2 linked regions of the Tribolium castaneum genome follow. The protein of the gene in region 1 purifies or fractionates together with the protein of each later gene. This does not show direct contact. Links are inferred from orthologs where the notes say so. Each region holds a gene or a part of one and is shown on either strand. Other genes may lie near its edges.

The links.
Region 2: the proteins of Ctr9 (region 1) and EloA purify together in Homo sapiens (affinity purification with mass spectrometry; 4 studies listed by BioGRID and IntAct, with this or other methods). This does not show direct contact. The link is inferred for Tribolium castaneum from reciprocal best matches to the Homo sapiens genes CTR9 and ELOA.

Annotation. Positions count from the first base shown.
Region 1 is NC_087397.1:22,580,048-22,584,625, forward strand, and holds the start of Ctr9 (RNA polymerase-associated protein CTR9 homolog), read left to right. Parts: upstream 1-1,633; 5' UTR 1,634-1,748; coding exon 1,749-1,790; intron 1,791-1,839; coding exon 1,840-1,938; intron 1,939-1,997; coding exon 1,998-2,237; intron 2,238-2,288; coding exon 2,289-2,511; intron 2,512-4,578. UniProt on the Homo sapiens protein: Component of the PAF1 complex (PAF1C) which has multiple functions during transcription by RNA polymerase II and is implicated in regulation of development and maintenance of embryonic stem cell pluripotency.
Region 2 is NC_087400.1:1,640,355-1,643,610, reverse strand, and holds part of EloA (transcription elongation factor B polypeptide 3), read right to left. Parts: coding exon 2,635-3,256; intron 862-2,634; coding exon 252-861; intron 1-251. UniProt on the Homo sapiens protein: SIII, also known as elongin, is a general transcription elongation factor that increases the RNA polymerase II transcription elongation past template-encoded arresting sites.

The sequences.
Region 1 (4,578 bases):
CATAAAAACGCCAACGTCGCATTTTACAAATTTTTTTAAAGAAAATAATGATAAATTTGTAAAATAGTTATTGAAAGTATAAATTACATTAGCTGTTATTTTTTGAAGTGCATGAATAATTTATAACAGCTAATTTTGAGAAAAAAGCGACGTTGGCGTTTTTGTAATTTTGAAACAGCTAATCGTAATTGTTGTTTTTATTTTTTAAGCGCAAATCAAAAGAGCTAAATGTTTTTAACTAAGATGTTCTTGAGGCATCTTTTTACAAGGAAGCTAAATTTGTCATCGTATTTTCCAAGGCGTTCTTTATGTCAGAGTTACAATACTTAACTTTTTTTTTCTTGTGAAAGCCATATTGGCTTTTTGTATTTTTGAAAAGTGTTTTTATTTTTTATTACAACGGTGTATCACATGATATAATCAAATTTTACACGTTGATCAAAATGGAAAAAAAACACTTTTGCGAAGAGTGCCTTGAAAAAAACCCCAATTATTTCGTTTTTAAACAAACTAAATTTTCGAGGTTTGGAAGGTTATTACAGTTCGGCAAAGTCTACTTATTTAAAAACTAAATAACATGATAAGCTAAAAGTTTATTCTTTACAAAATAAGACAAAGTTATTAAAATTTTGCTCGCATATTTAAAAGAACTGTTAAAATTTAGTTTGTTATACACAATTTTTGGTGTTTTCTTTCAAAGCACTTTCAAACGCTTTTTTCTTATCTACATGTAAGATTCGATCATATTATCGTTGTAATTAGGAAAAAAATTTTTTAAATTCAAATATCAAATATGCAGCTCAGAAAAACTAAAATTATTATGGAAAAGATGAGATAGATTTAAGTTTAAAAAAAAATGCCTAAAGGATTACTTGAAACTTAAACTAGTTCATTTGGTTTTTGCATAAAAAAATAAAAATAAAAATTACAAATGTTTTTTTAATTAGCTTGTATAAAAAAATATTATAGTATTATCTTTTCTATAGCAGTGAAAACTTTAAGTTTAAGAGAGAAAAGCTGTTGCAAACTTTAGTTAGAATGTGGTTAAAGTGCTATTTTATCTACTCGAAAGATAAACAGATACAATCTGTCTATAAATGTATGATCGTTGTAGGTATGAGTATTAAAAAAGTTTACTGCTTCTTTCCAAAAAAAAAACGAATTGTGTTAGTATATAAAAAATTGATCTGCCGGGGTAAATAAAAATTAGTACAAATTCAAGTTCCAAAACCACCTGAGATCCTACTCTCTTTTATAAACAGTCCGTAGTTTAACATCTACTATAGAAAAAGAAAATGTTTTACATTCGCAGAATAAAGCTTTCGCTTAACAAACAGCTCGTTAAACATAAACTTCACTCGTAAATAAATATCTAGTTTAAATATGTTTTTCTTGTATTTTTTAAATTATTAAAAAATTATATAAAAATATGCAATAAAATAATTTATTTTTGTATTTGTTTAAAAAAAGTAAAGCTTTTGCTATTATTTTAATTCCTACTTTTTCTGGGGTTTTGAAATTGATTGATTTTAAATTTTATTTGTTTATAACACTCCCACGAGAGACCGCCACAAACTACAATTTTGCAGTTTTCTCCTACAGTTACGTGCAATGTTGGTTGCCTACCAGTTAGTTTATTTTAACAGTTTGTGGCTTGTGCATCATCCAATTTTCAATTTCCGATTTTTAGTGAAAAATGCCCTTTTCATGAAATATATGTGACGTGAAGTGTTAACAAACTCTTCAAAATGACTACAACAATCGAAATTCCTCTCCGTGACACGGATGAGGTTCGTTTTTCAATATTTTATTCCAAAAATAAAGTGTTGGTTTTTATAGGTTATAGAGCTTGACTCTGATCAGTTGCCTGATGGAGACGAAGTTTTGGGTATTTTACGACAAGAAAATACCCAGTTGTTTATATGGGTTAATCTTGCGGTATGTTTTTCAATGTTGTGTGCATAATATTAATATTAATGATTGTGTTTCTCCAACAGCTGGAGTATTACAAACAAGGTAAAATTGAAGATTTTATTAAAATACTTGAAGCTTCACGAACTGATGCCAATGTCGATTACCGAGACTATGAAAAGGATCAAATGCGAGCCCTTGATATGCTTGCCGCATATTATGTACAAGAAGCCAACAGGGAGAAAAATAAGGACAAAAAACGAGAGTTGTTTACTAAAGCAACTCTTCTGTACACCACAGCTGATAAAATTATTATGTACGACCAAGTAAGTCACAAATTGTAGCTAATTCACACTTGTGAGTACAAATAATTGTAGAACCATCTTTTGGGAAGGGCCTATTTTTGCCTCCTTGAAGGCGATAAGATGGAACAAGCGGATGCGCAGTTTAATTTCGTTTTGAATCAGTCACCTAATAATATACCGTCATTGTTGGGGAAAGCTTGCATTGCGTACAATAAAAAGGATTTCCGAGGGGCTTTGGCTTTTTACAAGAAAGCTTTGAGGACCAATCCAAACTGTCCTGCTGCAGTACGACTAGGTAAAATCTTGCACAATTATTAAAGTCCAGGTTTTGGGTTTCAAGAATTTTAAAAGAACTGATTTTAAGTCAAAAAACGTGGAATAGAATTTTACCCAGAATAGTACAGAAACGTATCTTTTCTATTTTACAAAACGTTTCAGAAATCAGTTACAATACACACTTATTTTTTTAAATGAAACATCTTAATATCTGTTTCAAAACTTTAAAAATAACTGTTACTTTTCGCAGTTGATTTTCTCTTTTAATTAGGGAGTTCTGTTGTCACTAAATTTTAACATAGAATCACAAGGAAACAGATTTAATTTGTAACCTATTTGACTCCAAAAAATGTAAGTGCGCTGTTGCGTTTAATATTCCACTCATGAAATAAAGCGTCCGATTTACAGCCAAACTCGTTAAATAAATAACTATTATTGCATTTTTGGAGGTAGCTTTTAATACTGTTGATTTAGACCTAAACTTTTATTGATTAATATTTTGAAAATGTATTATACACAAAACTAAGGTTAAAAAAGAAACAAAATTTCCACTAAAGAGAAAACTTAAGACCCAGATTCGTACTTATTAAAAAAAAAAAACTGAATTTACATTAATATATGTACAGAACGTTTTGGCATGAACATGTATCCTCAGCTATACAGGGTGTTAGGGAATAGCTTAGTAATATTTCCTATGCGAATTTGTCATGATAAGACGAGTTAAGAACCTTTATATTATTTTTTCAAAAAGTGCGTACATTTTTCAGAAATTTTTCTTAATCTACTTATTGAGGACCACTGTATGGTTTAGTAGTTAATTTTTACATTAAGCAAAATGGAGGTGATGGCGCGTGGCCGTTTTAAGAATTTTTCAAAATTATGGCTTTAACATGTTTATTTGTGTGGGGGTTTGAATCCTGGTCCTGACAAAAAATGTTTGTTTTTTTTTTGTAAAATTTAATAACAAAACACAAATTGAAATTGAAGAATAACGTAGTGGACCAAGAAGTTAATTTACCTCTGCTGTTTTGACAATAATATCAAAATTTATTTAAGTTTTATATATCTGGTTCAGCGGTTCTCAAAGTTTGGGACTTTAATTTCAGAACGTTTTTTTTTTGGGAAAACTATGCATTTTTGATTTAGATTTATTTTGATTAATCGATTTGTTTTGCCATTTTCTATCTACCTTTAAATTTTTGCTAAACCATTTCCTAACACGCTGGGGTTTACAATCACGACACATTAATGGTTAAATAACTTAAAAAAATAAACGGAACACCTTATATATTTGTTTTTTGCTTCCTATTTTTTTAAGACCGTAAAATTTTAAATGTCTAAAAAATTAAATAAAAACGATGTTTAACTAAATGTTAATTTTAGCAGTATGTATGTTATTCGCGCTGAGTATTAGCACGTGTTACCGTAGTAAACCATTCTGAGCTAGGGGCAAGTTTTCGAATTACGATTTTTTGGTGTAAAACTAATATTTATTTATTTAACGAGTTTGAGTGTAAATCGGACGCTTTAATTTACGAGTGAAAACGGGTGGTTTATCTTCTACGAGGTGAAATAAATCAACCGATTTACACGAAAATGAGTTGAATACAACATTTTATTCTTCGAATTAGACTCAACAAGACTTACAATTGCTTAAAATCTGTTAAAAATAATCTGACATTTCGTATTGAGAAATGCCAAACAGTTGTCAAAATTTTCTTACAGAGAAAAACCATAAATTTTGACAATGTCGAAGTGTCGAAGAGTAAATAAATACTATACATTCTTTTTTTATTTTAACTTGATTTTAACTATAATATTTCAAAAACTAATAATCACTCAGAATTTAGCGTTTACTATAAAATACTTTGTGTTTTTCCTAATGCCTGTGCATTTTTCTACAATTTATTATAATTAAAATGAATAAATTAATTACCAGTATTAAGTAGTTGTAAAAAATGGTTATTTCTTGCGTCATCTGAGAACAAGTATTGTTTAAATGTTATTTTGTGATAAAAATCTGTAAAAAATGTCGCCCGTCTTAAAAAATACTCAACTAAGAAAAATTAAAAATTTAAATAAACGT
Region 2 (3,256 bases), on another chromosome or scaffold:
TCGATTTTGGGTACCCGGAACATTTCTCGAGCAATAGCTCCGGAACTATCAGAGAAAACCCCATGAAGTGTATTATCGTTAGAAAGCTCTTTAAATCATCTATTTTTTCAAAAAAAATCACAGTTCTCCGACTAATAGTTTTCGAGAAAATTGCAAATAAAAGCAAAAATTGGCCACATTTTAAAAAATTCATAACTAAAAAACTACTGGCAAGGATTAAAAATAGCCAAGGTAACAGCAGTCACACCAACCTATATTTCTAGGGGGTTTGGCCACCGCATCCACATATGCCAGCTTGGTCATCCTGACCGGAAGCGACTTATCTTGCGCTTGTTTTATATTCGCTGTCAATGCTTTAAGTTTGGCGTCTCTCTCATCCAAACATCTCAGGTACATTTCGCGCCACGTCTCCAACTCCTCTCTCTTTTTATTTCTAAAGTCCTTCTGACAATGCAACTGCCACAACTCGTCTGTGTCTTCGATAAGATACGGGTTATGGTGTTCCATTAAATAAAGTTGATTCGGGTTGGCTTTTTCCAAAATCGGCTTAAGGACGTTGTAAGGAACTCCCCCAGTGTACTCCAGAGCATCGATATTATCCTGAAGGACTCGAATACACAGATCGAACAGCGAGGCCACTTTCCCGCAGCCCATTTTATTGCCAGAATAGACTTTCGTCCTTTGGTTTTTCGAGGTGATAATGCTTGTGAGCGCCTCCGATTCGGACATGAATTTTTTGTGGTGGCTGTCCGAAGGGAGCAAGTTGCCGAGGGGGCGGTAGTTGGGGGTGATTGGAGGCAGTAGGCTTGAAATGTTGAGATCTATGGGGTCCAGGGTCGGTTCTTTAAGGAGTTTGGGGACCTGTGAAGAAGAGGTTCATCTAAACATCACTACGATCATTTAGTTTTATGTGTATATTGCAAAAAAAACTCGTACAAAATCAAAATGAAAAACAACTCTTCTGTTCTTTTTGACCCATAACAAAAAATAAATAAATAATAATAATAAATTGAGACTTCCTCCCAGTTTTTAGAACCCAAAAATAATTCGGATGGATTCCTGGATCTGCAATATCAAAATATTTGGTATAAACAGAACATAAAAAATAAAAAATACGTAATTAATTTTAAATAATAAAAGAGTGTAGGAAAATTCTGAAAAAATTCATGTAGGCACAGAAAAAAATTAAGTATTTAAGCAATAAATTTATAAAAATAGTTTAATTAAATAACGGTTAGCCCAAAGCGAATAAAAAAATACAGACAGATAAAGCACCAAATTTTCAATAATTGGAGATAAAAATAGTGCAAAAATTATATCTTAAACTATATTTAAAAAAATTTCAAAGTTTTACCAATTTGCACTCTGCCCCATATTTTTCAAAACGCTGCGAATACGGTTACAGATACAAGAAAAATGTTCAGAGGAAAGTTGTAGAGAATTAAATTTCCTTTAAAAAAGTCCGCGAGACCATATCCCTATCTTCAACCATTTAGGCCCCAAAGTCATTCAAAGACGCTCAAGCGATGGATTTCCATCATTTTGCCGGTGGTCAAGTATTGGAAAATAAATTTATACCCAAACCGTTGAAGATAGACATATCGTGTCGCGGACTTTTTTGTAGGAAATTTAATTCTCTACAACTTTGTTCCTTACACTTTTTTTGTATCTTCAACCGTATTCGCTGCGTTTGCAAAAAGAACGCAATAATTCTAAGCGATAATTTTTGGGCACCGTCGCCTATTTATCAAAACGCTGCGAATACGGTTAAAGTTACAAAAAATTGAAAGGAACGACGTTGTAGAGAATTAAATTTGCTACAAAAAAGTCCGCGACACCATATTTCTATCTTCAACGGTTTGGCTATAAATTCACTTTCCAATACTTGACCACCGGCAAAATGACGCAAATCAGTCGCTTGAGCATCTTTGAACGTTTTTAGGGCCTAAACCGTTGAAGATAAAAATATGGTCTCGCTGACTTTTTTAAAGGAAATTAAATTCTCTACAACTTTCTTCTGAACATTTTTCTTGTATCTTTAACCGTATTCGCAGCGTTTTGAAAAATACGGACCGGAGCGCAAATTTTAAATCTTAAATAATTTTTTTCTCATGTTTCTCAATAAATTTCAGTCCTCACTTTTTCCCAGTCTGTTGAGAATGCAAAGCTCAACATTTCTGCATTTTTCCCCAGTAATTAGTAAACTGGTTGAATTTAAATTAATTTAAAACGATTTGACACCGAGACGGGATGACGCTCGAGGCGCCCTCATTTTTACACCGCCGTACTACATCTTTGGGAGCGATTTTGTATCTCGTTTCGTCTCCTAACTTATAGTCTTTCGTAGTCAGACCTTGATATTGCAAGATATTCTACTAAAAATTGTCAATAATAATTAATCCAGGAAAAACAAAGAGGAATTTTAAAACTGTTCAGTTTCAGTTATAAGTGTTTGTCACCGAATTAAAATAGTAAAATATTCTCAAACAAGTATCAGATTACGAAAATTACGTCTGTTTCATTCTGATACTGATAACGAAACTTTTAGTCATAAACTAGATAGGTACACATTCCTTACGTTTCTAAAAAGTGTGTTGTTTTTGTCATTTTTTTCAAAAACTTAATAAAAATTACCGTCTGGTCCGTTGACTTTTCCTTCTTCTTCTCCACTTTCTCCACCTTCTCCACTTTCTTCTTCGCACTATTCTTACTCGACGAAGGCTCACACATGCCCAAAGCCTCCGCAAAACTAGCCCCCGATCCCGAATCAATCCCATTAACCAAATTCCCATTCAACTTCTTCGAACTTTTGGTCTTCTTCTCATCACTTTTCTCCCTCTTCTCATCCTTAATCTTCTTATCCTTGCTCTTCCTGTCGTCCTTCTTTGATTTATGTCTACCACTGTCTTTCTTCTCTTCAAAATCGGGGGCCGCAGCTTTGGCTTTCTTCGCCGCCTTGTGTCTTCGTTCTTCGTCACGTTTGCTGCTTTTCTGGCGCTCTTCCTCCTTCTTGGGGCGCTTTCGCGCCGTTTCTTCCTCACTACTCGACTCCTCGCTTTTGCGTTTGTGTGCCTTTTTCTCGTGCCCGTTGTGGCGATGTCTCCGCGACGTTTCGGACCCGTCCGACTTGCTCTTCTTCACTCTTTCCCTATCGTCAGTCCTGTCATTATCACGTTTGTGTTGACTAGAAGGCGTTGATTTTTCCTCATGGCCGTCTTTATCGTCGCTGTCATTCGACGGTTCTTCCCCGCTTTGG